Rattus norvegicus: one gene and its partners. The protein of the gene in region 3 interacts with the protein of the main gene of each other region in a biochemical or structural test. Links are inferred from orthologs where the notes say so. Each region holds a gene or a part of one and is shown on either strand. Other genes may lie near its edges.

Region 1 (3,759 bases), on a different chromosome or scaffold from region 3:
CCTCCCTAGTGAGAGCCTTGAGTATCAAAGGCTTCCTGGAGGTCCCCACAGGCTCTGTGTCTACTGACATCAGCTACTACTTCAGCTGACCAGCTCCCCTAGGACATTGACTTCATTCCACTTCCTGCAAAGCTGCTGTTGGGGGTGGGGGCTCCTTGGGTAAGGCACTTTTGGGTTCCCCTGAATGGCTGTGTGGTAAGGCTGGGGGGGGGGTGCAGACTCCTAATGCATCTGTGTTCCTAGGCTGTACGTGTCATGGTTGAGCCTTTACTACACGTGTGGCTTTCAGCTGCCTAGGCCCTCAACCACGAAGCCTGCAATTTAGAGTTCTGCTCAACTCTGAGACCACAGAACACTTTTCTGCAGTTCGGCCAATCACTTGTGCTTGGCTTTTTAATATGACAAGACTCATAATGGCCAACCCCCCACCCCCCAAAAATGAAGAAATTAGGAAACCACATGTCTCCAGCATTTCAATGCTAGCAAAGAGGCCGCATTAAGCGTCAAAGGGCTGCAGGGTTATAGGTGGTTTTTGTTTTGTTTTGTTTTGTTTTTTAATCCCTAATTATTGCTTTAACAGGTAAAGCCGTGTCAGAGGCAATCAAACACCTGAAAGAAAGAAGCATAGCATTTCCTTCATACATCATGGAAACAAAACTACAACTAAAATATTTGGAAATGGGAGTTATCATAAAAAAAAAAAATCACATTATGCCTGAAGGAATTGAAATTGCTTAGCAATATTTCCGATATGGCTCTAGCCCACTGAAGAAACTTGTTATTTAAGAAGAAGCACTTTTAGAGACCGAAGTCAACAGACCATTACACTAAGAAATGTTCCAAATGTCCAAATGTCATTAAATAATTATAAATATATCTTTAAAGTTATATGACCATTCACGTTAGCAAGTTACTTCAGATTTTACACATATTCATAACTTAAAAAAGGAAAAAAAGAAAGTAAAAACAAACAACACACAGCCAACTCAAACACTATATCATTATGGCTATAATAAGATATTGCCATTTTCAGTTTTGCATAAAGGGAGAAGCAGGAGGCACGGGGGAGGGGAATGGGACTTATTTTTTGGTTAAATGGGGGAAGTGAGGGAATATTTTAAAAAAGTAAAATAAAATAATCTGTCCTGATCAGTATTTTTGAAGTCACTTTCTTAGAATAGAAAAAAAAAAAAAAAAAGAGTGAACTCAAAAGTTCAAACGCATACCTGCATCAAGTCTGAAGGGAAGCTTTGGAACAGGTATTCAGAGTGGACGGTAGGGGAAGCAGCCACGCTGCCTCTCGTCCCTTTCCGAGTGCACCACAGCTTTGTAAGCTGGTCTGCAGAGTGCACAGGCCTCCACACAGCAGAGGCCTTGATTTGGTTGCAAAGCACAGGGAGGAAGTGGCCGTTCTTCCTCCCGGACCCAGAGTCCACCTCTCTGAATTGTTGTGGGAACAGGTCACTTACGAAACCAGACCAGATAACACCTTTGACGGTCTGCTCCTTGGTAGAGGAGACATCTTAAATAGTAAACAATATGAAACCCAGTAATGACTGTCCCCACACTCTTAGGGTTGCCAGATCACAACTGGGGAGTGAATGAGAAATCTTCTAGATAGCTAATCAATATACATATATAGGCACTCTCTTTATATATGTATATATTAACACATGTGGGACGTGGCCACTGCATGCCACTGGGCCATGCACGGTTGACAGACTTCAATAGGGTCGCCAGACAGACTCATCCATTCTGCCGCTAGAATTCAAAACGGTTGGGGAGCTGCTGTGGCTTCCATCAGCGTCAACACCATCATTCTGGTTAGGCAAATTTGGATTTAATAGCGTGCTGCCATTCGAGGTGGTCGTGCACGGTGGGACCATCCTGGAAGGAGACCGGTCTCCCCCGGGGACCATTGGGAACTGATAGGACGCTGACGAAGTACCATAGTAGAGATATGGAGTGCTGCTGGTCTGGAAGGGTCCGCTCTGGCTTTGGGAAGAGCCGGGGTAGGGTGGTGGCAGGTACGTGTGGTAGTGAGTGGTGGCGGACATGCCCAGGGACATGCCTGACGTGACTGGCGGGGTGTAAGTGAAGGTGGCTGGATAGTGCATTCGTGGGTTGGAGAAGCGGCTCTCAGTGAGGGATGAAATGCCTGGGAACTGCCTGGGGTCTGAAAAAGGGCCCAGTTCTGAAGCACCTAAAAAAATTACAACAGAAGACGGGGAGGGGGGGGAAACATCTGTAAATATCAATTAAAATGATAGAGACGTTACAAGATTTTTTTTAAAAAAAAATTAAAAAGAAGGGAAAAGAGGAAGCTTTCTCCCAAGGACCAGCAAGTCACATACAGGTTTTCAAATGTACTTCTCACCTCAGACTTTACTTGTCCACCTTACTGTCTCAATGCTATTTAGCCCTGAGTTCTCCTCCACACCCAGAGAGTCCCAAAGGGCTTTCACCAGCAAGTGCCAACTAGGCCCTGTGTGGAAGCCAGCCCAACTCCAGGCACAGGATCACTCACCAGACTTTAAGGCTGGATCTTCATTGATCCCCCACTCCCACCCACACACACACACACACATCCCTTCCTTTTTGTTTCTTATTGCACGGAGTGAAACTTTTACTAAATCAGATCAACTGATTCTTCCTAACTCAGTGTAAAAAGATAAATCCCAAGTAATAGGATTAGTGTCCCCTTTGGGGGTGGAGGTAAGGATGGGGGCGGGGGATGGGTTTCTTTGTTAAGAAAAGTGCATCAAACAGATTCCCTTAACATAGTCTTACTATTTCTTCTTAACCTTTAAGAGAATTTAAAAATCTTATGGTAATTCTCATCTTAGTCACAGCGAAATCAGAGTAGATTTCAGTAATCTAACACTATCTAGCTTTTGCCCGGGGGTGTCGGGGAAGGCCTAGCCCTCAGAAATTCTCCCTTGAGTCATAAACTAGATAAGAAGGTATCGAGAGGGAGGGTGGAGGATGGGGGTGGGGGGATGTGGTGGAAGGGTGGAGGGTGGGGTGAGGACCTTGACAGAGAGCCTTGATAAATGACACAGGACCTGATTTAGGCCAGGGACCCACAGCAGCTTTCATTAGAACCCAGTGCCTTGGAGAGATTGAGCTGAGAGACTCATTGCCAGCTCCCTGTCCCCTGCACTAGAGTGAGCTCTGGGTCTTTCAAAGCTTAGATGTCTTCCTAGAACTTTCACAAGTTATCAGTGTCTCCTTAGGAGATGTCTCTGCTGTCTAACTCATCAAAGTGTGGCTAGAAGACTTTGCACGTGGAAACTAGTTTCCTGAAATGGATAAAACGCATAGCTGTGATTTAGGGGTTCACTATAATTTTCTAGAACCAACAGAATTACAAGACCTTTTGTTTCATCCATCCATGTTTACGTGCTAAGTCTGTGATGTCTTCTGGAGCCCCCCTCACTGCTCGACTTAGATTCTCAATCTGCCTTTGCTACAGGTTTTAGCTGTAACAGAAAGTGCCGGGCAGATCTGGAGACCATAATTGTCCCTCAGCCTGATTTGTACTCAACCCTTCTTCTCTGACAGCTGGCTATGTGTCTTGAAAGGGTCTGTCAGAGGGTGGTACTGTTTGTTAAAATGAACATTGTTCGTAATCTTCACCGTACTCTGGGATTCAGTGTGTGAAATGCATTTGTCATACATAGTGGCTGCTTAAATGCAATGTAAGAGTTAACATAACCTTTTGTCTCAAATCTCATAAACCAGTAGACAGTAGCCAGA
Region 2 (4,226 bases), on a different chromosome or scaffold from region 3:
ACACGACACAAGTTGTCTCCACTCGTGAGAAATGGAGCACTACAAAGAAAAGCCATGATGATAAACACTTCAGGTCCCAGTTGTGCACACGACCCCATGCTGCGAACAGTCAACCTTTGACACAGATGTCCTATATAACCTGATGGGCCAGGTAAAGGTCTACTTGACATCTACTTAATAGCCTTCTTTCTGTTAGCAAAAGATACCAGTCCTGGCTAGGGTTTCCTCCATCTCTGCACGGAAAAAAATTCTAAGTCTCCATGGAAGTTTCCTTGCTGAGCCAACAAAGGTAACTTGCAGTATCACTCACTGCATGTCCCTGACGAGTCAGAAACGGATTCATCTTCCTGCAGCCACTGGCTCCTTGCAAAATTTTGCCTAAGTGTCTTTAACTTTTCCGTGTGCCTCTAGCATATCATCTGGGGTATGGGTGCAATATTTGCATCAATGCAACTACAGTCCAGGAAAAAAATGCTTTAAAAAAGTTATAATAATAAATCGTTGCTGTTTATTTTGTCTAAGAAAGTATCAGATATATATAGATGATATATATTATATATAGATTAATACTATATTATATATATGTGTGTGTGTGTGTGTGTGTGTGTGTGTGTGTGTGTGTGTGTGTCATCCTGAATGGCAGAAGACAATTTCTTGGACCAAATGAAATTTTGTTGCTTTGTTGCCATGAAGTTCGGTGGCTTGGAAACTTTCCTCCTTTTAATTTTGAGAATGGATTTCACTATATCTTGAATACACTACGTAGCCCCCAGGTTCACTTCCAACTTGCATTCCTTGAACACCTTTTTGACTTTTTTTTTTTTAAAGCCACTGTAAAGTCACTTCAAATAGTGAAAATGGACTGCAGCAGAGGCCTGCCTAGCTCTATCTTACTGGTGGAGCAGCTCAATGAAGTTCCTCAGACACAGTTCGTTTTTTTTTTTTTTTCATCAATAACTGAAGTAATGGAATCAAATGCTTTCAAATCCCACATACTTGATATTAAATTACCAAAACACACGCTTCGGCTATTTGGTGTGATCTAAAACACGTGCGGCCAGGGGCTCGCTCTCACTCGCTGCCAGCCTGAAAGGTCCACTGTAGGTATGTGAACTGACAGAATACACATGATGTTTCCCAGATCCCAAATCTGTCTCTTCCCCATAAACATGCACAGCGCGTATAAACAAGCCATTCTTACGGAAAGGGCCTATTAGCTGAGTTCATATCCCTTCCCTGTGAGCTAGCCCTTCCCTTCTGCTGTATGTGGTTTCAATCCATCGTAACACAGAGAACTCCTGGCTCCCTCGAACACCCCAAAACAACCTTCGCGGCACCATTTCTATCTGTAGCCCTGGGTGCCTGAGACGTCTGCACAGCGCTAGGAGAGACCCCCAGCTCAGCCTGGCTCTGACTGCCACCACACTGTGACAAGCCCAGTTTTTGTACAGAGCAATCCTGCCCTTGAATATCAGGAGAGTCTCTGGAAGGGATGGGACCCAAATGCCTCTATTAACACTTTGAAGTACATCAGAATGTCAACACCTCATCTTGGCTTGTATGTAAAGTATAAAGAACAGGTTAAATATGCAGTTCTTCCTGGCAGAGGCAAGGATCAGGGACAGCAGCAACCCTTACGGCTAATCAGACCCAACAGAGGTCTGTGTCTTTGACAGCTGATTATTTTCCAAAACGTATCCCCTTCTCCCTGTATCTCTCTACATCCTTTCACCTCCCAAGTCACCTTTCCTTGAGACCAGTTTCCTTTCTAAAAGTAGGCACACTCCCTGACGCCCTGCTAGCTTCAGGAATCCTGAAGAGTTGACTCCATCTGTGGAACACTAAAATTCCCTTCTAAGACAAAATTCGATGTCTTTTCTCTCCCTCTCCTCTTCAAATCCTTTAAGCCTGCTAAATGAAACCATGAACCAAAGACACTAAGTCACATCTGGTTGGTGGATGCTTTTCTTCTTCGAGGACCTTTGGTATGGGAAGCCAAACTGAACGGGGAAGGAATCAGACTTTCCCAAAGTTTAAACAGATTCATTTTATTTCTCCTCCCACTACCTCCTCCTCAACCTAGAAAAGAGGGGTGAGACTCTAAGGTTCTTATGACAGGGGAGCTCAGGATACAAGTGCTGGAAGGCCAGGCAGCTAGCCAAATACCCTTTCAGCACTCCACAGGACCCTCCCATCAAGCTCCAGTACTGGGGAGACACAGTTGGGAGGGGCATGGGGGTGACCTGAGAGGCACTGTCAGGCCCCCTTGCTAACATTAAGGAATACTACCAGAAGGTTCTCGCTTATGTGGGAAAATTGAAACACCGGAATTGGGGCACTGGAAATTCTATAAGCTTTTTCCCATTAGTCACAAAAAACGCAGCTGTAAAAATAAATAGACCACCACCACCACCCCCAAAAAACCCAAGGGTCTCAGGCCACCAACAGTCTCCTGGTCTAGACATCCCGGGCTCCTGAGAGAGCAGCGCAGGCCAGAGGGGACACGGAGCTGGGGTGGGGGCCTCACTGTCGCCACTCACCCGGGGATGGGAAAAGCTCCAAATCCACTTTTTCTGTCTTGATGATGGTGAGAGTCGGCTTGAGATCGACGGCCGCCTTCATGGTGCCGGAGTTGAGGGGGCCGGCGGGATGAGAGCAAGTTTGCTGTAACTGTTGTTTTGCTTTTTAATAGGGATTTTGAACTCAGGGGAAGGGGACAGAGCGCAGCCCTAAAATCTCAAATTCCCGCTGATCGCCCGGCAGAAAGGTGCGCGCCCAGCCAGTCGGCGCGAAGTTGGCACTTGGCGGAGCAGAGAGCGCGCTTGGGTCCCAGCCTCGCCCGCGCCTCGCCCGCTCGCTCCTCTGTCCCGGGCGCTCGCTCACTCTCTCGGCTGGCCGGCGCTGGCGCAGTGAGGCTCGCCTCCGCTTTAGGGCGTTCCTCACCGAGCCCAGGCCCAGGATCCCAGCGCCTGCCCTGCCCACTCGACCGGGCGGCGGGGATGGGGCGGCGGGGCGGGGCCTAGCGCCTGCAGCCAATCATCACCCGCGTTCCAAAAGCGAAAGGAAGGGCGGGCGAGCCTGGCGGGGCGGCGCCGCTCCAGCTACTCTGCGCGCGCCGGGCCAGAGCCTCGGCCCACCGCTCCGGAGAATGGCTGGCGAGCGGGTCGCTGGCGTGCAGAGTCTCGGGAAAGTCCGTCTGATTCTGCACGCATTCTTAGAGGCTTGGTCACCCGCTGCGGCCCCGCTCCAGTAGCAGCATAGTTTTCCAAGTGCGTGTACATCATTCATTCACAAAGCTTGACACACAGGACATGAGGCGTGGGTGCGCAACGAGGGGCGCGTGCGGGGGGGCTTCCACAGCGGGGGGGGTCCTGCGAGGATTCCAGCCTAGACGTGACTCAGAATCCCACCCGTGGAATGGATGGGCAAGGCAAGGACAGCATTGCTGAACAGAAACCTCAATCGGCTTCACTAGCTCAGAACCATGCCTATTGAAGATCCCAAAGACTCAAAGTTCCAAAGCTCCTGGATTAGCCAAGGGAATCCAGAACTTGTAACTGTGTTTTAATTATTCTGTTTATATATATATATATATATATATATATATATATATATATATATATATATATATCAAGATGAGTGAGAATAACCGATAGATAATTTGCCGCTGATAGCCATTATACATCGAGATAGTTGGTATAAATGAACAAATCTTCCAAGGCATGGTACCGTAAGTGTAGCTGAAGCCAGCAAGGTATTGACATCTACCTTTGAATAAAAGACAACGTAATAAATCGTCCTGAGAGACCTCAGGGAAAGCTATTCTTAGTACTGTTTCCTGATTTCTAAGCATGTGTTGAACTGCTACCACTTGCCTGCAACTGTAACTTCTGCTCCAGTAAACTTATTCACACCTGCTGACTTTTAGCTAAGCATGTTTTGCCCCTTGGAGCCTTAGCAGTGTACGGGATTCCCAAAACAAATCAGGCGGGTGGGGTGGGGACAGCAATAGAGTGTCAATCTCTGGGTCTTGGTCACATCTCCCATCTCCACCCTTCTTGGGTGACCAGAGGAAAATATGTGTATGTGATAATCCTTGTTTTGTTTTGGTTTGGTTTTTTGAAAGAACAGACTGTTGCTGTCCAGCTGTGTTTCTGCAAGGTATGAGAAAACAATGCTGACCTCCAAATGACAAGAACAGACACTTCAGAGCCTGGGAAAAGCTT
Region 3 (4,466 bases):
TAGGGAACAGCTGGTTCCCGGTCCTTTCCTACCTCGCTTAGGAAAATACACTGGCTCCTGCCAAATCACAACCCAGTATCCTCCAAATCGTCCCACCCTCACCCCACCCCACCGAAGGCCTGGGGTAACTCCGAAGCTGGTAGGGAAAGGGGCACCAATTGACCACCTTCTAGTCTCAGAGTCAAGACTAATGCCTAGCAGCCCGATGTAGTGGATGGACCTCATCCACTCTACTTCTAGATGAGACCAATAAAGTTCAGAAAGTTCTGAGATTTGCACTTTTGCCCTGGGAGAACCAAGCTCGCCACCTCTTTAGTCAGTCTTAAGGGGTAGAGGGTGGAGGGCGGATAGCAGAACCTTAGAAAAGAAACAACTTACATGTGTCTAGCGCTTCCTAGAGGCCGCACAGGATATGAATCCACCATCGAGCGGGGAGGGGATTTTTCAGTCTTTCTACCAGGGACTCCTGCTTAAGCACCGTGACTCGGGGCGAGTCCGCAGCTCTCAAGGCTTGTTTTCCCAGAAGCAAATCAGGGAGGGAGGAAGGGCGGGCGCGAACTGAGTGTGCGCGGGGCTGTGTGTATGTGCTAGTGCAGGCGAGCGCTGGGGTTTCCTGAGTTTCGAACCTTTATATGTTGCTTTCCATACCCCAAGGAGCCGGGGTGGCATCTTTCACACCTAGAAGGGGGTCCCTCCGAGGTAAAGCGAACCCCTCCCGGCACGTCCCCAGAAAATGAAGTGTTGTGCCGGGGACCCTGGTGAATTCATTCCGAGCACAGCAAATCTCTGGTTTCCAGCACAGCACACTGCGGCGCAGATCCTTCTCCGAAACTAAACTTCCATGCGCACTCGGCGTGGGAGGGCCACTCTCAAACCCGCTCAACTTCAACCCACTTGCCGCTCCCGCACCCGGGGCGAACACAACCATATTAACCCGCGTCGCTCTGTCTCCCGGAAGTGCGGGGGTGCGGAGCCAGCTTCAATCGCCCAGATCATTCAGCCCTTTCACGGGTGTGTTCGTGTGTTCGTGTGTGTGTGTGTGTGTGTGTGTGTGTGTGTGTGTGTGTGTGTGTGTGTGTGTGTAACCTCTACTCCCACCCAAGCCCTCCGCCCCAGGCCACCAGCGCGTCTCCCCAGCTTTCTGGATCCCCGCGTCTCGGTCTGGGTCCCCAGCCCTGAACTTGAGCCCGCCTCCGACAGACTCCGCAAGGGTCCAGCGGACCCGGCAGCCTCCGTCACTAGACAGCCAAACCAAGACGTCAGCCCACAATGCACCGGGCGGGCCGGGAAAGACGCGCCGGGGAGGGAACCCGGGAACACAAGCCGGAGCAACGCGCGGGAGGGGGAGGGAGGTGGAGAAAGAAGGGCCCAACTGTAGGAGCGCAGCGGAGCATTACCTCATCCCGTGAGCCTTCGCGGGCCCAGAGAAGAATCTTCTAGGGTGAGGTCTCCATGGCGACGGGTGGGCCCGCCCCCTTGAGAGCGACGCAAGCCAATGGGAAGGCCTTGGGGTGACATCATGGGCTATTTTTAGGGATTGACTGGTAGCAGATAAGTGTTGAGCTCAGGCTGGATAAGGACTCAGAGTTGCACTGAGTGTGGCAGAGACTGCCTAGCTGGAGAGCGCTCAGGCAGACAGACAGACGGACGGACTCGGCTAACCTGGTCGTCCGCGGACTCCGGGCTGTTCATCTGTTTGTCTTCATTTTCTGACCAACTGCCTGGATCCAGCGCCCGCAGCTCCTGCACCGGTGTTTTGGGGAGCACTTGGAGAGTCCCTTCTCCCGCTTTTCCCGGAGAAGAAGCTCACAAGTCCCGGCACTGCTGACAGCATCGAGAACGGCTCCGGACCGCGCGAGGAAATAGGCGAGCGGCTACCGGCCAGCAACTTTCCTGACCCAGAGGACCGGGAACAAGTGGCCCGGAGCGAACTTTTGCAAAACCTCTTCTGCGCCTAAGGCTGCCACCGAGACCGTAAAGAAAAGGGAGAAGAGGAACCTATACTCATACCAGCTCGCACAGGCGGCTGAAGTTGGGCGAGTGCTAGCCGCGGCTGCCTAGCGTCCCCCTCCCCCTCACAGCGGAGGAGGGGACAGTTGTCGGAGGCCGGGCGGCAGAGCCCGATCGCGGGCTTCCACCAAGAATTCCGTGACGACTGGTCTGCGCCGCCGGAGAACCTCTGTCGCTGGGGCTGGTCCGCGGGCTCCGAGGAACCGCTGCTTCCCGAGAGCGCTCCGTGAGTGACCGCGACTTTTCAAAGCTCCGGATCGCGCGGGAGCCAACCAACGTGAGTGCAAGCGGTGTCTTAACCCTGCGCTCCCTGGAGCGAACTGGGGAGGAGGGCGCAGGGGGGAGCACTGCGGTCTGGAGCGCACGCTCCTAAACAAACTTTGTTACTGAAGCGGGGACGCGCGGGTATCCCCCGCTTCCCGGCGCGCTGTTGCGGCCCCGAAACTTCTGCGCACAGCCCAGGCTAACCCCGCGTGAAGTGACCGACTGTTCTATGACTGCAAAGATGGAAACGACCTTCTACGACGATGCCCTCAACGCCTCGTTCCTCCAGTCCGAGAGTGGCGCCTACGGCTACAGTAACCCTAAGATTCTGAAGCAGAGCATGACCTTGAACCTGGCCGACCCGGTGGGCAATCTGAAGCCGCACCTCCGAGCCAAGAACTCGGACCTTCTCACGTCGCCCGACGTCGGGCTGCTCAAGCTGGCGTCGCCGGAGCTGGAGCGCCTGATCATCCAGTCCAGCAATGGGCACATCACCACTACACCGACCCCCACTCAGTTCTTGTGCCCCAAGAACGTGACCGACGAGCAGGAGGGCTTCGCCGAAGGCTTCGTGCGCGCCCTAGCTGAACTGCATAGCCAGAATACGCTGCCCAGTGTCACCTCCGCGGCACAACCTGTCAGTGGGGCGGGCATGGTCGCTCCCGCTGTGGCCTCAGTAGCTGGCGCTGGCGGCGGCGGCGGCTACAGCGCCAGCCTGCACAGTGAGCCTCCGGTCTACGCCAACCTCAGCAACTTCAACCCGGGTGCGCTGAGCAGCGGCGGTGGGGCGCCCTCCTATGGCGCGACCGGGCTGGCCTTTCCATCGCAGCCCCAGCAGCAGCAGCAGCCGCCTCAGCCGCCGCACCACTTGCCCCAACAGATCCCGGTGCAGCACCCGCGGCTGCAGGCGCTGAAGGAAGAGCCGCAGACGGTGCCGGAGATGCCGGGAGAGACGCCGCCCTTGTCCCCCATCGACATGGAGTCTCAGGAGCGGATCAAGGCGGAGAGGAAGCGCATGAGGAACCGCATCGCTGCCTCCAAGTGCCGGAAAAGGAAGCTGGAGCGGATCGCCCGGCTAGAGGAAAAAGTGAAAACCTTGAAAGCGCAAAACTCCGAGCTGGCGTCCACGGCCAACATGCTCAGGGAACAGGTGGCACAGCTTAAACAGAAAGTCATGAACCACGTTAACAGTGGGTGCCAACTCATGCTAACGCAGCAGTTGCAAACGTTTTGAGGACAGACTGTCAGGGCTGAGGGGCAGTGGAAGAAAAAAATAACAGAGATAAACTTGAGAACTTGACTGGTTGCGACAGAGAAAAAAAAGTGTCCGAGTACTGAAGCCAAGGGTACACAAGATGGACTGGGTTGCGACCTGACGGCGCCCCCAGTGTGCTGGAGTGGGAAGGACGTGGCGCGCCTGGCTTTGGCGAGGAGCCAGAGAGCAGCGGCCTGTTGGCCGCCACGCTTTGCGAACGGGCTGTGCCCGCGCGACCAGAACGATGGACTTTTCGTTAACATTGACCAAGAACTGCATGGACCTAACATTCGATCTCATTCAGTATTAAGGGGGGTGGGTGGGGGCTTACAAACTGCAATAGAGACTGTAGATTGCTTCTGTAGTGCTCCGTAAGAACACAAAGCAGGGAGGGCTGGGAAGGGGAGGGAGGCTTGTGAGTACCAGGCTAGATTGCGGATGAACTCCCCTGGCCTGCCTCTCTCAACTATGTATGTACATATATTTTTTTTTAATTTGATGAAAGCTGATTACTGTCTATAATAAACAGCTTCCTGCCTTTGTAAGTTATTCCATGTTTGTTTGTTTGGGTGTCCTACCCAGTGTTTGTAAATAAGAGATTTGAAGCATTCTGAGTTTACCATTTGTAATAAAGTATATAATTTTTTTATGTTTTGTTTCTGAAAATTTTCAGAAAGGATATTTAAGAAAACACAATAAACCATTGAGAAGTAGCCCCCAACCTCTCTGCTGCATTATCGATAGATAATGAGAGCTAGGTGAAATGACAGCTGAGTGTCTGTATGCTGGGGTGAGAGCCTGTAGTCCCTCCCGTCTGGTTGTAGGAATAGACACCCTGCATGCTATCATTGGCTCATACTCTCTCTCTCCCCAGCAACCCACAAGTCCAGACTGTTGACCAGAAGATGGTGCAGTGTTTCTTAAGGCTGGAAGAAGA
Region 4 (4,280 bases), on a different chromosome or scaffold from region 3:
TAGCATTGTTATTGTTGTTTCTTTAGACAGTTTCTCTGTTGTCTGAAACAGCCTCAGCCTAGGTACTCTGTCTCCACCTCCCTGTTTCCATCCAGCTTTTGTTTGAGTGCACAGTGAGAGAAAATCAAGTGTGGGAAGAACCCAGGGGGCTGGAACTGAGAGGAAGAGGCCTGTGAATACATAAGCAAAGCAGTAGACTGGAAAGACCCAACAGAATCAGACTGGAAGAACTGGCGATGGCCACAGTGCTGTCATCATGCCCCATCCCCTGGGTAGAGGATGACTGGCTGTCCCTGTGGCTGTCCTGTGAGAATGGCTGTCCCTGTGGCTGTCCTGCAAGGATGGCTGTCCCTGTGGCTGTCCTGCAAGGATGGCTGTCCCTGTGGGTATCCTGTGAGAATGGCTGTCCCTGTGGCTGTCCTGCATGGATGGCTGTCCTTGTGGCTGTCCTGCCAGAATGGCTGCCCTGACCGCAGGCTTACCTCGTGAAGCTTGTCAGCCTTCTGTGTCTGCTTCTTTCGGCTCCTCTGAGCTGCAACCCGGTTTTTCTCTCTTCTTCGAACCTTCCTGTCATCATCCTTGGGGCTCTGGGGATGACATGTGGGGAGGTGAGACTCTCAACCTTTCTCGATTTGCTCACAGAGCTTTCATCTGGTGCCCTGGATGGGGTCCCCTGCGGCCCCGTGGGCTGCTGAAAGCCTTTGTCAGGAGGACCCTTTCTGTGCTGGGGCTTTGCTACATTGATCTCCACTCCCATCCTGGAAAGTGCACAGAACGACTGTCGGTTTAAAATGAGGAATAAGAGGTCTGGGTGTAGCTCAGTGGCACCATATATGTGTGGGATATGTGAGGCCCCGGACCACAAAAAAATAAAAACACTAAGAGACAAGGAGGAATAAGAAACTCAGGTTAGGGAAGTTCTCCAGGTATCATGGCCAGCATGAGGGTGAGTGGGAAGTGGAACTCAGGTCTGCTGGTCCTCAAACCAATGCTCACAAGCCTCTGCCCTGCAGGGCTTCTGCCTGGAAGAGCGCTACTGTCACTGTTCATCCACTAGTGAGAAAGACCGGGGTATGTGCTCTCTAGAACTTGCTGTGCACAGCCTTTAACGACCGCACACTGTCGAGTCCTTCTGAAACTGTGTACAGACCATAATTATGCAGTTAGTACCAATCTCAACCACACAACTCTACCAGTACATGGAAAACTGTGGAACACCAATGACAACATGCTCTCTTGAACAATGCCTGGCTGACATTTTCTTTTCAGGGGCCAGGGGCTATCCCAAATGCAAATCTGTGATTCGTCTTGAGAGTTCTTAACCAAACATCCAAAAATTCTTCATGAGGTGGCACAAAGTGGGCAGGCAGAAAAAATGCCCTTGTCACAGTGAGGGGCTTACTCAGCGGAAAGGGTTTGCTTTCCAGAACTGCATTAGACACTGTCAGGGGAGGAAAAAAATTGTCTAGAAGGTGTCTAGATGGGGAGGGAACTTAGCGACAGGCTCTTGCCTGGCCAGGTGAGGCTCGGTATAATCCCAAGCCATGATAAAACCCAGAGGCTGGTGTACAAACCCAGGGCTTCAGCCAAGAATCTCCAGCATAGGTAAGAAGAGACATCAGACTCAACACTGGGGGTGGCATGGAGACATCATTCAGGAGAACACAGGTGTCAAAACATGTCTCCCAGAAGTCCTCCTCCTCCCCTCCTCCCCCTCTTCTTCAACAGAGACTCATGTAGCCCAGGTTGGCCCTTCCCTTTCCTTCCTAGCTCTGGGATTCTATTTCTGCATCACCACACCCAAAAGGTCTTACAAACATATGTGGAGCATCCGGGGGACATGCCACATGAACAACGTAACCAGCTTTACACCCTCACAAACCCTATTAGATGCATGACCCCCAACCTTCCAATGTATATAGTAACTGAGATCCTGCCCTGCACTCAGGATACTGCTCCCCTAATATAACCTGAGATTTGACCTCACTGTGCTTGACAGGAAATAATGCCTCTTTAGTCTCCAAAGCCGACAAGTCTGGGAGCCTCCTGTCCTCTGGGAGCTGTCACTGTAAACTGGACCCATCACCTGTCACGGAGGATCGCACCTCCCCACTCAGCAGGAATGTCATATGGAGACACAAATCACCCATCGCTCACATAACCTGTGTACACATCCTCAGGAGAGAGATGCTATAGAGTTCATCTTATAGATGGGGAAACCGAGGCTCGGCTAGTCAGAAGCAAATAGTAGTACAAGGCCACCCCAACTACTTGGCTCAGACTTCCAGGGTCGCCCTGGGACACTACACATCAAGTAGAGAGTTGGGAGTCTTTGGGGGAGTGACTAAGAAATATAAGACCTGGTCTGGATAAAGGTGGCCAAGAAGTGTTCCAACAGTGGTCTCAAGTTGGCCCTCGATTTGGTCTCAGCTTCTTGTGACTGCAGCTTTGAAAGTTAGGGACAGCAGGGAGGGCTGATCGTATTGGGGCAAGGAGTTTCCACCCGTGCTGGGGGTGGAGTCTGCCCACTAGAGACACAACCCCACACCCGCAGGTTGACCGGTCCGATGTTCCCCATACGGATCTCAACCAGTAGGTTGGATGCAGGGACGAACCGCCCCTTTGGGCTGAATTCGTAATATCAGAGCTCCAGGCTCCCTCCCTCCAGCTCCCACAGGAGGCAAGGATGCAGCGGCCCCCAGCAGCGCGGACCCACGTGTCCGGCGCCGAGTCCGGAGCGGCTGCAGCCTTTCCAAGCGCTCGAGGCGCACCGAGGGGACTCACCTGGAGCTCTGGCCTCACCCTCACCCGGTCCCCGCACCCGGCCCCCACGTCCACTACCTGCGGCTGGTTCCCAGGCGCCGCCACGCTGCTCTGCAGCACGCCGCCCGCGGGGGGCCCTTGCGACATGCCGCGCGCTCGCCACACGGGGCGCCCTGAACGCGGGGCTCTGCTACCCGCGCTCCGCCCGCATCCCCGCACCTGCCGCCCCGCCCCGCTGCTTCCCGCTCTCCGGGCTTGGCCGTGCCCGCCTCCCCACCCCGCGTCCAGTCCCGGCCCGTCCCCGCCCCCTGCTCCCACCCCGCCCCTGCTTCCTCCTCTCCCCGCCCTCTCGCCGCACCTCGGGGTCCAGGATCCCACCCAAGTCGCTGCTTTCCGCTAAAGGCCAGGCGCTTCGTGGAAGTCACGTGGCAGCACCGAAGCCCACCCACGGAGGAGACCCCGCGTGGGTGGGGACGAGGTGCTGGCGCGGCGCCGCCTTGGACGGTCCTCCGGCCGCTCCGGGGAAGTTCGGACGAAGTGGCTTCACTGTCCCTTCGCTGCCTCCCCTCTACTCCCAAGCGCGGGTTACCGGCGATGGGGGGCATTTCTTCCGGGCGACGTGGCACCTGGACCGGAGGCGCCAGTGGGCAGGGACAGCGGCGGAGACCCTCCGCGCGAACGGGGCAGCGGGAGCCTCAGGGCTTTTCTACCGCAGCGTCGTCCGGTCCAGTAGGAGGGAGGGGGCGAGGTGACTCGGAGGGCGGATTCTGATGGGGGTTGGGGGAAGGCGGCAAAAGGAGGTTGTGAACTGAAACTGTGAAAGGTGTCCTCCACACTAGCCGTCCATCCTCACGTATTCAGGGATATGGGCAGGCCGTGCTGCTTCTGCTTCTTAAGATTAAGGTGATACCTACTAAAGACTAAACTACATGGTTGCCACGTTTATGCCAGACTAGGTAGAGACATATCTCACCCCTCTTCACCTGCCTGCCGGGTTTTAAAATACCAAGTCAAGATGACTGTGCCCAGCAAAGAAAAACAACACACAAAAAACCCTAACAGGTGCAGACTTGTGGTCTGTGCTTAGGGGAGAAAAGCTAACCGCGAACTGGGGGGACAGGTGAGAACCAGACAAGTGTGGCCTTTCTCACGTGTTCATTTTGGCCTTCTGGCTTCTGGGCAGTGGGAGAGGTGACCTTCCTGAGTCCCCACCCGGTGCGCATGGCTCTGTGCCAGGATTTAAGACCTCAGCCTGGAGAGAGGAACTTGTTTGAACCTGCCTGGCTGGCTTCAGGCTCGAGGAGAGATGGTCATATGTGTTAGTAGGTCATAGCATAGCCAGTGTTCATGAACCATGCATTAATAGAAGAGCCTTTCCATGCTATGAGTTCCGCCCAAATCCCTCTTCTAGCAACAACATAAAGAGTGTGTGCGCGCGTGCATGTGTGTATGTGTGTGTGTGTGGGTGTGTGAGAGAGAGAGAATGTGTGTGTGACTGTATATGTGAGAGAGAATGT
Region 5 (3,759 bases), on a different chromosome or scaffold from region 3:
AGGGAAAGGAGGTTTAAGGATTGATTTTAAGAGGAAGCTGTACTCCAAAACAGACGGCATCCTTGCTGTATTTGTTCTGGGTCCCTGGTCCCTCTGTGTGCCAGTCCCTACCAAACACACTGAGGTGGGTTCTACCGGAAAAGGTTGTTCACATTCACTTTTAAATTAAGACCCAGGCATCTCTTTAGGGGTTAATCCTGCAGGAATTATCCTATCCCCTGAGATAAAAATCAGATCATGGGAAGCAGTGCGTTCAGATCATAGGGAGAGCGTCTTCCAGAATCTGCTGAAGTTTTGTTAAGTCCTCCGCTTCAATCTTCAGAATTGTCAAGAGATTTAAAATCACGAATTCCTTGAAAATAGATTAAAATGTTGCTCATGGTCCTCCTACCCCTCTCTGCACCTGCACACCTGACCTTTTAGCACAGAGAAACCGTTTCAATGCTGAGAGATTGGGAAGTCTGCTACATTCTAAGCAGTGTTTGCAGATGCCGCCTACAAAGTGGCTTAGGTGACTTGCAATAGATTTTGTAACACTGTAATAGTATAGTTTGTTTAGCCCCTGGTACACCGGAGCACAAAGATAGAAACATACCTTCAGCCAGGAAGTTCAAAGACCATGGGTGCTGATGGAGTATGCTTTTCATAAAAATAAATAAATAAATATAATTCTGGCAGGAAGACCACAATCCCTAGCTATGCATTAAATATCATCTCAGATAAATTATACATTCCACTCCACGGCCTCTTTGAAACTCAGGAAGATTAAGAAATTTGCAGTAAATAAATTGCTAACTTTAACTTCAGCCTCTAAAATTGTTGGAAAATGCCAGTTTCAAACTGAGAACCGGCTAGCCAAGAGCAGTGCTGGGAAGTCCTTAGAGCGGAGAGGGCAGCTGATATTTTGCCCAACTTCCTGATACTTGAAGAAGAGAGAAGTTCAACAAAATATGAGCTATCTTTGGCCAGCAAGTCCCTTCTTGTCTGTTTGGTCTGTGCTAAACGTAAATGTTTCTCTCCCTTACCTATTGTTTATGGCTTTGTACTGCAGATGCCGCTTCGCATTTCTGTTTGAAGTTTGATTTTTTTTTCCTCTCATCCTTTTTATAATCGTCTCTCATTAACAAAACCTATATCCAATCGGAAGACATCTTAGCTTTATATAAAACAACAGTAACACTAATAACCTAGCCTAAGTGCACTTGTCATTGGTTTAAGCATGGTGTTAAATGTCCCTGGATTTAGTTTTGTCTCCTTCCCTACTCCTTCAAAACTCTTTGGAGATAAGTTAAAAAAAAAAAGGCCAGAGAAGTGATAACTGGGCCCCCGGATGCCCCCTTCCCACTTCCTTTAGAAATGGGGGTGTTGCTAGTTAAACTCCTAATTTTTAGACTTTTGAATTCCATCACCAACAAGCTTTTCTTAGCCACCATGGTCCTCTCATGCTGTAGATGAGAGGGCCTCTAGGGTTTGTTCTCTCGGTAATGGGGGGGGGGGGGTCACTGGAGCAACAGTGGTAAACTGAGGCACACTGAGGCCTGGCAGGAGTTCCATGACTCAGCATGCTTTTGGGTGCTAAGGGACAGGATGTACTCACTTTAGTCTCCTAGGAGACATGGCCCGGAGAGTCAGCCATTCAGTTTGGAAGCCCTGCTGTAGATTCGGTACCCTGGATGCCCAGTGGGTGTTGAGATGAACTGGAAAAGCCTAGGTCTCTGTAGGGAGATGAGGACAAGGAAGTGAAGCATTTTCACAGAGGACACTATTCAACACCATGAGTGAACTATGCAGTGGGGGGATGGGGGGTGAACGAAGAAAGAAATGGGGGAAAAATTAGACTAAAATCAGAATTTACAGGAGTAGCATTTTGTAGGAGTAGAAAGACAATAACGATCAATTAACCAGGCTGGGAGATTTACGGCAGTGATGTCCTTTGAAACAAAAGAGTTGTCATATTACCACCCCTAATTAAAGGCCATCAAACACTTGTGGTGGGATAGAAACATCTAATTACAGATTGCTTGGAGAATAAGAGTTTTAAAATCTCCTTTGTAGAAAACGTGTCCAACAGTTGACATGAAAGGGTTAAAAGCAGAGGCAAGGGGCTGGGTCCTTGTTTCACAAAGTAAGTAGCTGAAAACAGATAAAAATTACAGAGATAGCAAGGCACCTACCTGTACCCAGTACCAGAGGGCAGGGCGTCCTGGTGATGGCCTGGCGTCCTGTCTGTCCATCCCTCAAGGTGGCTGGGGCAATCTCCTGACCTATGTTCTTTAGAACTCGGGTATGGAGCAGCCATGATGAATAATATCACCCACATAGCCATCTGCAGGATGTGGAACAGCGAGAAGGGGGCATGACTTCATCAGTAAGGGTGGCGAGCAGAGGGACTGGGTATGAATGCCAGATTAGCAGATCTGTGGCAAGGTTAGTCATTTCGTACGTACAGAAGGAGAAATATCCCTCCGATGGGTTGTGCAGCCAAGGGTGTGCAAAAACTGAAAAGACAGTGTGGCAGCAGGTGAAGCGACGCTCACCCCTACTGACCCGAGAAAACCTGCCTGAGGAGGGCCACACAACTAGGATAAAAGCCAGAAATTTCACTGCAGACTGACAACCTGTGTCTGGAGTGGTTGGAACAAACCGGACTCTCAAGACATTTAGATTTGAAACCCCGTGGCCACTTTGAAAATGGAACAAGGCAAAGAGAGCCAAATCAAGTAAAGACTGAAAAACTTAGCTGAAGTCAAAAGACGCCAGCTTGGTGGCACATACCTGTGAACCCTGGCCTCACCGGCTAAGGCAAGAGGACCGTGAGTTCAAGGCCATTCTAGGCTGCATCATGAAACCGTAGTGCTAAGAGAATCGAATAGCAGCCAAGCCATGGGGGCCAGGCAAGTAAAAGGTGGGGCCAGAGAGACAGCTCAGTAGTTGAGAACCTATGATACGTGATCAGAGAATGGTTCTGACTCCCAGAACCTATGTCAGGTGGCTCACGTCTGCCTACAACTCTAGTCCCAGGGTCCTCTGTGCCTCTGGCCTTCATGGCCTTCAAGAACATGACCACCCACATACACTTAATCCAAAATACTAAAGCAAATCTTTTTTAAAAGTCGGATTAGATCACAAATCTACAAACACAAGACTTCCAGTCTTTCAGATCTGAGGTTGTATGGGATACTGATGAGAAATGGTAGCTTTCCAGTCCCCGTCCCTGTTTGCCTTGTCCCCAACTGTGTCCTCCTGTGGCTTTCTCCCTTTAATCTCCATGTCTTCCTTATTTGGAAATCCACGCCCACCGCTCACAGCAAGCTCTTTCCCGTCACGATACTCGAGTTATGACGGTTCTTCTGAAAACTAGAAAGCGTCACCGTTAAGTGCCACACACAGTCACGTACCTATGACACTGACGTCTGCCTTTGTCCCTTTGGTTGGTGCCTAGGTGGTAGCGCTGGGCGACGTTCCGGATGGCACTCTGGTCACCGTCATGGCGGGCAATGACGAAAACTACTCGGCGGAGCTGAGAAACGCCACCGCGGCCATGAAGAACCAAGTGGCGAGATTCAACGACCTCAGGTTTGTCGGTCGGAGCGGCAGAGGTGCGTATCTGTCACGGGTGGGCTTGGAATTTGAACCCAACTAGTAGCTAGTAGCGGCCTCCTGTCATTGAGGCCACACAGTGATATTTATTTAAAATATTTACTTGAAAGCTAAAACTTCCAACTGGATAGTATCACGTCTGGTGACTAAATTGGCTCA
Region 6 (3,759 bases), on a different chromosome or scaffold from region 3:
TTAGTATGTGTGTGTGTGTGTGTGTGTGTGTGTGTGTGTGTGTGTGTATGAAGTAATAATTTGTTGAAACAAAAAACAAGGTCATGAATTTGAAGGAGAGTGGAAGGAGTATATTCTGAGTTTGGAGGGAGTAAAGGGGGAGAGATACGTATGTAAATTATAATTTCAAAAAACTTTTAAAAAGTTTTAAGAACAATAAAAAGATATATTTAATTCATTTAGCATGAGTATCTGATAATGTAAATAATAGTGATTGATATTTTAATTAGGTTTGGCAAAGAATAGTTTTCATGGTCTACATGTACATCAGTGTATGTATAATGTTTCATTTTTACTTAAAAGAGAAATGAAATCTACTCTAAGAAACTATTTTTTAGTAAATTCATTTGTCAGGATAATGATATTTCTTACTAAATTCTAGTATATATTTGGAGTTTATGCTGTTTAGTAAGTCATGATTAATCTTTTTTCAAATTACAAGTTAGAGGTGGCTAAAATAAGTTTTTTAAGAGGCAATCAGTTTGTCTTAAAATAACCAAATCAATATACAAAATGCAACAAAGGCTTTTAAGGATGTCTGTCTGTCTCACATAGGAAAATTTTATTGTTATAAAATTTAGTTTGGGTAAGTGTTATACAGGACACAATTTAAACAATTTTATTTGTGGCACCTTTAACATAGGTTTAAGAAGCAAGTTGTCCCTCTTACTGTAAGTTGTATTTATATAGGAAGAGTCACTTAAAACAGGGAATGGATAATTCAAAAGATTGATCTATTCATATATTTACAACACCAGCTACTTGGAAAGCTGAGACCAGAAGATCTTGAGTTTAAGCAAGTTTGGGCAATTTAGCTCCCTATGCTAAAACTTCAAAATAATAAAGGAGGCAATGTAGTAGAATATTGCAGCCCTAACTTCTAGTCCTGGTGTTAAACAAACAAAAACTTGACCTATAATATACAACTATAATTTATTAACATTAATTTCTAGTTAATTGTTAGTTCAAAAGATACTACTGAAGAATATTCACAATATCAAAAGCAAAATGACAAAAACAAAGAAAGAATGAAAGCGATAAAGGAAAGAAAGAAGGAAGGAAGGAGAGAAACACATTTGGTACTGATACTTTTATTGCAAATTTTACTGTAGTGGCTGATTTTATGTGTTGACTTGACACAAGCTGAAGTTATCACAGAGAAAGAAGCCTCAGTTGAGGAAACGCCTCCATGAGACCCAGCTGTAAGGCATTTTCTCAACTAGTGACCAAGGGGGGCGGGCCCAGCCCATTGCGGGTGGTGCCATTCCTAGGCTGGTGGTCTTGGGTTCTATAAGAGAGCAAGCTGAGCAAGCAAGAGGAAGCAAGTCAGTAAGCAGCATCCCTCCATGGCCTCTGCATCAGTTCCTGCTTCCTGACCTGCTTGAGTTCCAGTCCTGACTTCCTTTGGTGATGAACAGCAATGTGGAAGTGTAAGCTGGATAAACCCTTTCCTCACCAGCTTGCTTCTCAGTCATGATGTTTTGTGTAGGAATAGAAACCCTAAGACACTTACCAAACAGCTAAATGGAGAGCCTTAAAATCTTTATAACACATGAGATCCTAAGAAATGTATTTGAGGCACATCAGCAGGGCAGTATAAAATAATTTGTTATGGCACTTGGCCGAACAGTATCTGTCCTGTGGATAATTAGAAGCCTTCAGTTTCCAAAGCTTGTCAATCTGGCACCTTTCATATGCACTAGTTACTTAAGATAAAATAAAAAAAAGAAAGAACAATAGAACTGTAATTCAAAGAAAGAATGTAAAAACTGCCACTGAACAACTTTGTGGTTAATAAACCTAAAATAACAACTTTATAAAGTTCAAGCAAGGTAATTACAGTATTTGTGTACCACACAAATAAACAGTTACAGATAAAATTTCTTCATTGTGCCTGGGCTGAAAGCTTAGTAATACTTCAGGTCAGAATTCACAAAGTTTAGGAAACCATGGCTTACCACCGAGTCCACATACATGCTGCATATATCATGTCCTAAAGTATTTGCAGGATCATGTAGAGAGAAATGTAAAAACTATGTTCCTAGCCAGAGGTAGTGGTGCACACCTTTAAACCCAGCATTCAGGAGGCAGAGGCAGGAGGCTCTCTGAGTTGGAGGCCAGCCAGGTCTATAGAGGGAGTTCCAGGACAGCAGGGCTAAATAGCGAAACCTTGACTTAAAAAGCCACACATACAAAACCAAACCAAACCAAACAACTAAGCCAAAAAGAAAAAAACAAAACAAAACAAAACAAAAAACCCAAAAAACTGTGTTCCTAACTAATCAATAGAAGTAAACTGCATTTACGCCCATACCTGCAGCTGGCCATTTAGTGAGCTCAAGTCTTCTGCTTTCTTCTCTAAGGACTGAACCCATACTTTCCTTTTTTGACGGCATCTTGAAGCTGCTGCTCTATTTCGTTCTAGAAACTTCCTCCTTTTCTCATCAGGATCTTCATTAGCTGCTCTTCTTCGACGGCCACTTGTATTTTGGGTCTGTGGAGTTGTGTGAGCTGGAGACGCCTGTGACAATATGGAGAGCTTACGTGTGAGTGTGCAGTAAGTAAATTAACAGGGGCAAGACACAGTATAAAAGGGAGGGTTGCTAACTTTATGTTGTATGCCTTGATGACATCAGCACTGTGGAACAAAATTCACCCTATGGCTGAATCCCTTTTCAATAACTATGTGATAGTGAAATGCTCAATGCAATATATAGTCAATGACTTCCTTAAAATGTATTTTTTAGTGTCTTGCTAAAGAAATTCTACTATACTCATAGATCCATGCCTTTTTCAGCCATTATCAGACAAAATTCCTTCAGCAGCATATGGGAAAAACTACAGAAACCCACAGCTAGACAATAAAAGAAAAAAAATTATGTGTATTTTGATAAACTATTTTTACAAATGCTATTTTTAACTGATTTTATATCATTAATTCTTTGAAAACCAGTCACTATAAATTTATAACTTTTTTCAATTCTATTTTGAAGTAAAAAATATTAAATATGCCAGTTGCATTAAAATAGTTATTTCTACAATATTTATTTTCCAGGTGTGGAGAGCCCCATAGGGGCCTTTGGCTTTTCATTAATGGACCAGTTTATTCAGCCCAGGATATAAATCTTTAGTCATTAATCAGACTGCATAATAGAACTGTCCAATGTTAGGTGCCCTCTTAGTCTTACAAATCCCAAACCATGCCACAGACTGTCACAGTGTGGGAGACAAAACAAAATAAAATCAAATAAACCTCTTGGATATGATGCTGAGGAACGAGACCTTCTGACTACTAGCATGTGATCCAAAGGATAAACTTGAAAAATTATTCTTTATCAACACAAAACAAATATCAAATTAAGATGGCTATATTTATACTCTACTCATAAGCTTATAGACTATAATTATATAAAGAAGTCACTAAGCTGTACTGTATTTTCTTTTTAAGGATGACCAGAATGGTGAACGGTGAAAGCAACACACGTACCGGAGTCTCTGTAGTGGACGTGGCTGGCTGCTGCAAGGACTGTGGACGAGACTCTTCTGACTGGGCCCTAACCAATCCACTGCCGTGGCCTTTTACAGTATCACCATTGGTAACTGGAGGGTGTTGCTGGGTCAAAGCAGCTTTTAATCTCTGAAATGCAAACACCATTTTAAAAAATGGTTCCTATGTTATATGCAAATCTAACTCTCGACATACTCTTTGTTTAACCCAAA
Region 7 (3,759 bases), on a different chromosome or scaffold from region 3:
TGTCATTAAATAGAAATATTTCAAATTGCTCAGCCAACTGTGGTTTTACTCTCTTGAACCAGAAGCTTTACTGTGTGTTTGAAACACATTGATTTATTTTTCCTATTAAAACTTCCAGATAATTTGAGCAACAGTAGTGGTTTAAAGTATTACTTATTCCTGTTAAGAAAGCCCTTCATGTCAAATCTCCTCACATGCTTTAGAAACTAAAGATCAATGTGACCTCAGGGCTAAGTTTTCAACTGAGGTGGTGAAGTGCTTGTTTGTAAGCACTGGGACCTTGGTTTGATTCCCAGAACCCATGTAACAAAAGATGAGCAGGGAGCATGCGCTTGTCGTCATCCATCGTCCCAGTGTTGAGGACTGAGCATGCGCTTGTCATCCCGGTGTTGAGGAAGACTGAGCATGTGCTTATCATCCATCATCCCAGTGTTAAGGACTGAGCATGCACTCATTATCTGGTGTTGAGGAAGACTGAGCATGCGCTAAAGATCCTGGTAGTGAGGAGGACTGATCATGCGCTTGTCATGCCAGTGGTGAGGAGGACTGAGCATGCGCTAATGTTCCCAGTGGTGAGGAGGATTGAGCCTGTGCTTGTCACCTCAGTGTTGAGGAGGTGTGGACAGGTCAGCCAGAGTGATCTAACAGATAAAGTTCCAGGCCTGTCTCAACAGATAAATAAAAGAGGTTCACAGTGTTTGAAGGACAGTACCCAAGGTTGCACTCTGACTTTTACACTTGTGTGTCTGCACACACAGGTGAGGGAGAACACACATGTTTCAAACACAAAAATGGATGCGACTTCAAAAAATTGCGCTATTGAACAAATACCCTTTCTGACTGCCACAGCGTGTTTGCATAACTAGCTCTGCCCCAACCATACAATTCACCATGCCACCTTGTACACGATATGGAGATTTTTATTACTGTCAGCCATGGTATGGGGTGCCTTTAGCCACCAGATTCCATCAAATCATGATTCCTGCATCTCAATGCCTGATGAACGTGGAATGTTACAACAAAACTCAGTAGTTAAAATGTCGTTTTTATAACACCCAGATTGCTTTTACATATCGAGGGCATCTGGGACACATTGGTCTGCAAGTCAATTTGAACTTTACTTAAATTCTGCTGATCTGCTTTGTGTATGAGAACAGGGAAGCACATTGATTGATTTCCTTCATCCGCCTCTACTTCTCAACTGTGCATTTCCGTAGATCGCCATGCGCGATCCGGTCCATGTAGCATCCTTACAGATGAGCCACACGAGTTCCTTTACCGATTCAAACTTCACGGCTGATAAATGCTATTTATAATTCTTAGTGAACAGTCATACTCGAGTATTCACAACGTATAGCCCTCAAAGAGCTCTCAAAGTGGTAACTTAGATTTTGAGACAAAAAATTGAAAGCTTCATTTCTTTTTATAGCATGTGACTATATTAGGATGACTGTGGCTTTTTTTAGCTTGTTCTCCAGACAATAAACACCCGTGCCAAAATGAAAGCTTAGGAGTCTCTGTTCTCTTTTGTCATTTCAGCCAGCCAAGCCAGGGACTTGTTGTCAAAGATGTTAGTGATTGACCCAGCGAAGAGGATATCGGTGGATGACGCATTGCAGCATCCGTACATCAACGTTTGGTACGACCCTGCTGAAGTGGAGGCGGTAAGGCATTGACCACGAACCACCCATAGCAAGTGCTGAAAACAGTTAAACTCACACAGAGGAGCCCACCATGAGTTTTAAGTTCATTTGTTTCCTGGACCTCCTGTGAACCGGGTGGGTTCCGGTGCCATTTCCTGTCGTTCAGGATGGGTTCCGGTGCCGTTTCCTGTCGTTCAGGATGGGTTCCGGTGCCATTTCCTGTCGTTCAGGATGGGTTCCGGTGCCGTTTCCTGTCGTTCAGGATGGGTTCCGGTGCCGTTTCCTGTCGTTCAGGATGAGTTCCGGTGCCGTTTCCTGTCCTTCAGGATGGGTTCCGGTGCCGTTTCCTGTCGTTCAGGATGGGTTCCGGTGCCGTTTCCTGTCGTTCAGGATGAGTTCCGGTGCGGTTTCCTGTCGTTCAGGATGGGTTCCGGTGCCGTTTCCTGTCGTTCAGGATGGGTTCCGGTGCCGTTTCCTGTCGTTCAGGATAGGTTTCGGTGCCGTTTCCTGTCGTTCAGGATGGGTTCCGGTGCCATTTCCTGTCCTTCAGGATGGGTTCCGGTGCCGTTTCCTGTCCTTCAGGATGGGTTCCGGTGCCGTTTCCTGTCGTTCAGGATGAGTTCCGGTGCGGTTTCCTGTCGTTCAGGATGGGTTCCGGTGCCGTTTCCTGTTGTTCAGGATAGGTTCCGGTGCTGTTTCCTGTCGTTCAGGATGGGTTCCGGTGCCGTTTCCTGTTGTTCAGGATGGGTTTCGGTGCCGTTTCCTGTCGTTCAGGATGGGTTCTGATGCTGTTTCCTGTCCTTTAGGATGGGTTCTGATGCCGTTTCTTGTTCACACGTAGGACTCCTCCAGTTTGTCTAACTGTCAGCCTCCCCACAAGCAGGTTTCATGGGAGAGAAGAAGCTCATTGGTGGGGATGCTCCCTCACTTTTATTTCCTTCATGGCACATCGACATTGATACCATGCGGTATTTAAGGATGTTTCAGTAAGGGAGCTTTTCCTAGGACACTGTTGGCTTAGCAACCTACATGAACAATACACAAGAAAGTAGATATTTCAAATGGGTCCTTATTTTCTAGGTTGATTCTAAATAACACGGTATGATATGTCTTTGGTCTTAGACCTATGTAAGGTTTATAATTCGTAGAAACTTAACTCTTCACTTTAAAGATATTTTCAAGCACCTACTTCCTTCTCTGTGTGTTCTTACACATTTACTTCAGCTTCTCTGTGGGGAGCTGCCTCTTAGCTGCTGCCCATGGGGTCTCTGCAGACCTCCTGTTGAGAAGTTTCTTTCTGTGACATTTGTTAGTGTATCTATCCGCAGTCTGGTCTTTTCTTGGAAATGGCAACATGTCTTTAAAGTATTCTAACATGGGTGGTAGTTCAAGTCACTGATGTGATTCTCCAGCTACTGATGTGATTCTCTAGCTTTGCGGTTGAATTTACTCTGAATCACCTAACGCCTTGCTTTTAATCCCTGTGCTGCAAGGCATGCTTGCTTAAAGATAGTCTTGCTTCGCTTAAATTTCTTCTTCTCTGCTCTCTAAGTGTTTTCTGGAGCCAACGGTGCTTAGTCCTACCCTACCCAACTCTGATTTCCTCTTCCTTCTTTCTGTATGTGAGAAACAAGTGGTTAGTGTCCAAAGAGTCTAGGAGGCCCTAGTCCTGACTTCCTCAGCTGCACAAAGGGATCTTTACCATCTTGTGTGATGTTTTCCTAAATTTTGTCCGTCCGAGCAGTTCTACCGTGATGCTGGTGTATCAGTTTGCTTCAGGCTTATTTTAGTAACTTGCTTTGATTTTTTTTTTTTTTTTACAAAATGCAATCTTTCCGGATTGGAGTTTTCTAATATTCCTTTTTTTTATTTATTTTTTATTTTTTTATTATTAACTTGAGTATTTCTTATATACATTTCAAGTGTTATTCCCTTTCCCGGTTTCCGGACAAACATCACCCTCCCCCCTCCCCTTCTTTATGGGTGTTCCCCTCCCAAACCTCCCCCCATTGCCACCCTCCCCGCATAGTCTAGTTCACTGGGGGTTCAGTCTTAGCAGGACCCAGGGCTTCCCCTTCCACTGGTGCTCTTACTAGGATATTCATTGCTACCTATG

The links.
Region 1: the proteins of Jun (region 3) and Runx2 form a complex in vitro, tested with the Homo sapiens proteins (2 studies listed by BioGRID). The link is inferred for Rattus norvegicus from reciprocal best matches to the Homo sapiens genes JUN and RUNX2.
Region 2: the proteins of Jun (region 3) and Ets1 form a complex in vitro, tested with the Homo sapiens proteins (2 studies listed by BioGRID). The link is inferred for Rattus norvegicus from reciprocal best matches to the Homo sapiens genes JUN and ETS1.
Region 4: the proteins of Jun (region 3) and Batf3 form a complex in vitro, tested with the Homo sapiens proteins (2 studies listed by BioGRID and IntAct, with this or other methods). The link is inferred for Rattus norvegicus from reciprocal best matches to the Homo sapiens genes JUN and BATF3.
Region 5: the proteins of Jun (region 3) and Runx1 form a complex in vitro, tested with the Homo sapiens proteins (2 studies listed by BioGRID). The link is inferred for Rattus norvegicus from reciprocal best matches to the Homo sapiens genes JUN and RUNX1.
Region 6: the proteins of Jun (region 3) and Atf2 form a complex in vitro, tested with the Homo sapiens proteins (4 studies listed by BioGRID and IntAct, with this or other methods). The link is inferred for Rattus norvegicus from reciprocal best matches to the Homo sapiens genes JUN and ATF2.
Region 7: of the proteins of Jun (region 3) and Mapk10, one has a biochemical effect on the other in vitro, tested with the Homo sapiens proteins (7 studies listed by BioGRID and IntAct, with this or other methods). The link is inferred for Rattus norvegicus from reciprocal best matches to the Homo sapiens genes JUN and MAPK10.

What each region holds. Positions count from the first base shown.
Region 1 is NC_086027.1:23,867,311-23,871,069, reverse strand, and holds part of Runx2 (runt-related transcription factor 2), read right to left. Parts: intron 2,204-3,759; coding exon 1,725-2,203; 3' UTR 1-1,724. UniProt on the Homo sapiens protein: Transcription factor involved in osteoblastic differentiation and skeletal morphogenesis. Essential for the maturation of osteoblasts and both intramembranous and endochondral ossification.
Region 2 is NC_086026.1:39,362,102-39,366,327, reverse strand, and holds the start of Ets1 (protein C-ets-1), read right to left. Parts: upstream 2,902-4,226; 5' UTR 2,623-2,901; coding exon 2,541-2,622; intron 1-2,540. UniProt on the Homo sapiens protein: Transcription factor. Directly controls the expression of cytokine and chemokine genes in a wide variety of different cellular contexts. May control the differentiation, survival and proliferation of lymphoid cells.
Region 3 is NC_086023.1:115,010,173-115,014,638, reverse strand, and holds the start of Jun (transcription factor Jun), read left to right. Parts: upstream 1-1,645; 5' UTR 1,646-2,503; coding exon 2,504-3,508; 3' UTR 3,509-4,466. UniProt on the Homo sapiens protein: Transcription factor that recognizes and binds to the AP-1 consensus motif 5'-TGA[GC]TCA-3'.
Region 4 is NC_086031.1:105,219,457-105,223,736, reverse strand, and holds the start of Batf3 (basic leucine zipper transcriptional factor ATF-like 3), read right to left. Parts: upstream 2,956-4,280; 5' UTR 2,911-2,955; coding exon 2,842-2,910; intron 588-2,841; coding exon 483-587; intron 1-482. UniProt on the Homo sapiens protein: AP-1 family transcription factor that controls the differentiation of CD8(+) thymic conventional dendritic cells in the immune system.
Region 5 is NC_086029.1:45,414,659-45,418,417, reverse strand, and holds part of Runx1 (runt-related transcription factor 1), read left to right. Parts: intron 1-3,442; coding exon 3,443-3,599; intron 3,600-3,759.
Region 6 is NC_086021.1:79,136,563-79,140,321, forward strand, and holds part of Atf2 (cyclic AMP-dependent transcription factor ATF-2), read right to left. Parts: exon of another isoform or gene 3,677-3,759; coding exon 3,527-3,676; exon of another isoform or gene 3,488-3,526; intron 2,597-3,487; exon of another isoform or gene 2,561-2,596; coding exon 2,354-2,560; intron 1-2,353. UniProt on the Homo sapiens protein: Transcriptional activator which regulates the transcription of various genes, including those involved in anti-apoptosis, cell growth, and DNA damage response.
Region 7 is NC_086032.1:7,039,788-7,043,546, forward strand, and holds part of Mapk10 (mitogen-activated protein kinase 10), read left to right. Parts: intron 1-1,539; coding exon 1,540-1,664; intron 1,665-3,759. UniProt on the Homo sapiens protein: Serine/threonine-protein kinase involved in various processes such as neuronal proliferation, differentiation, migration and programmed cell death.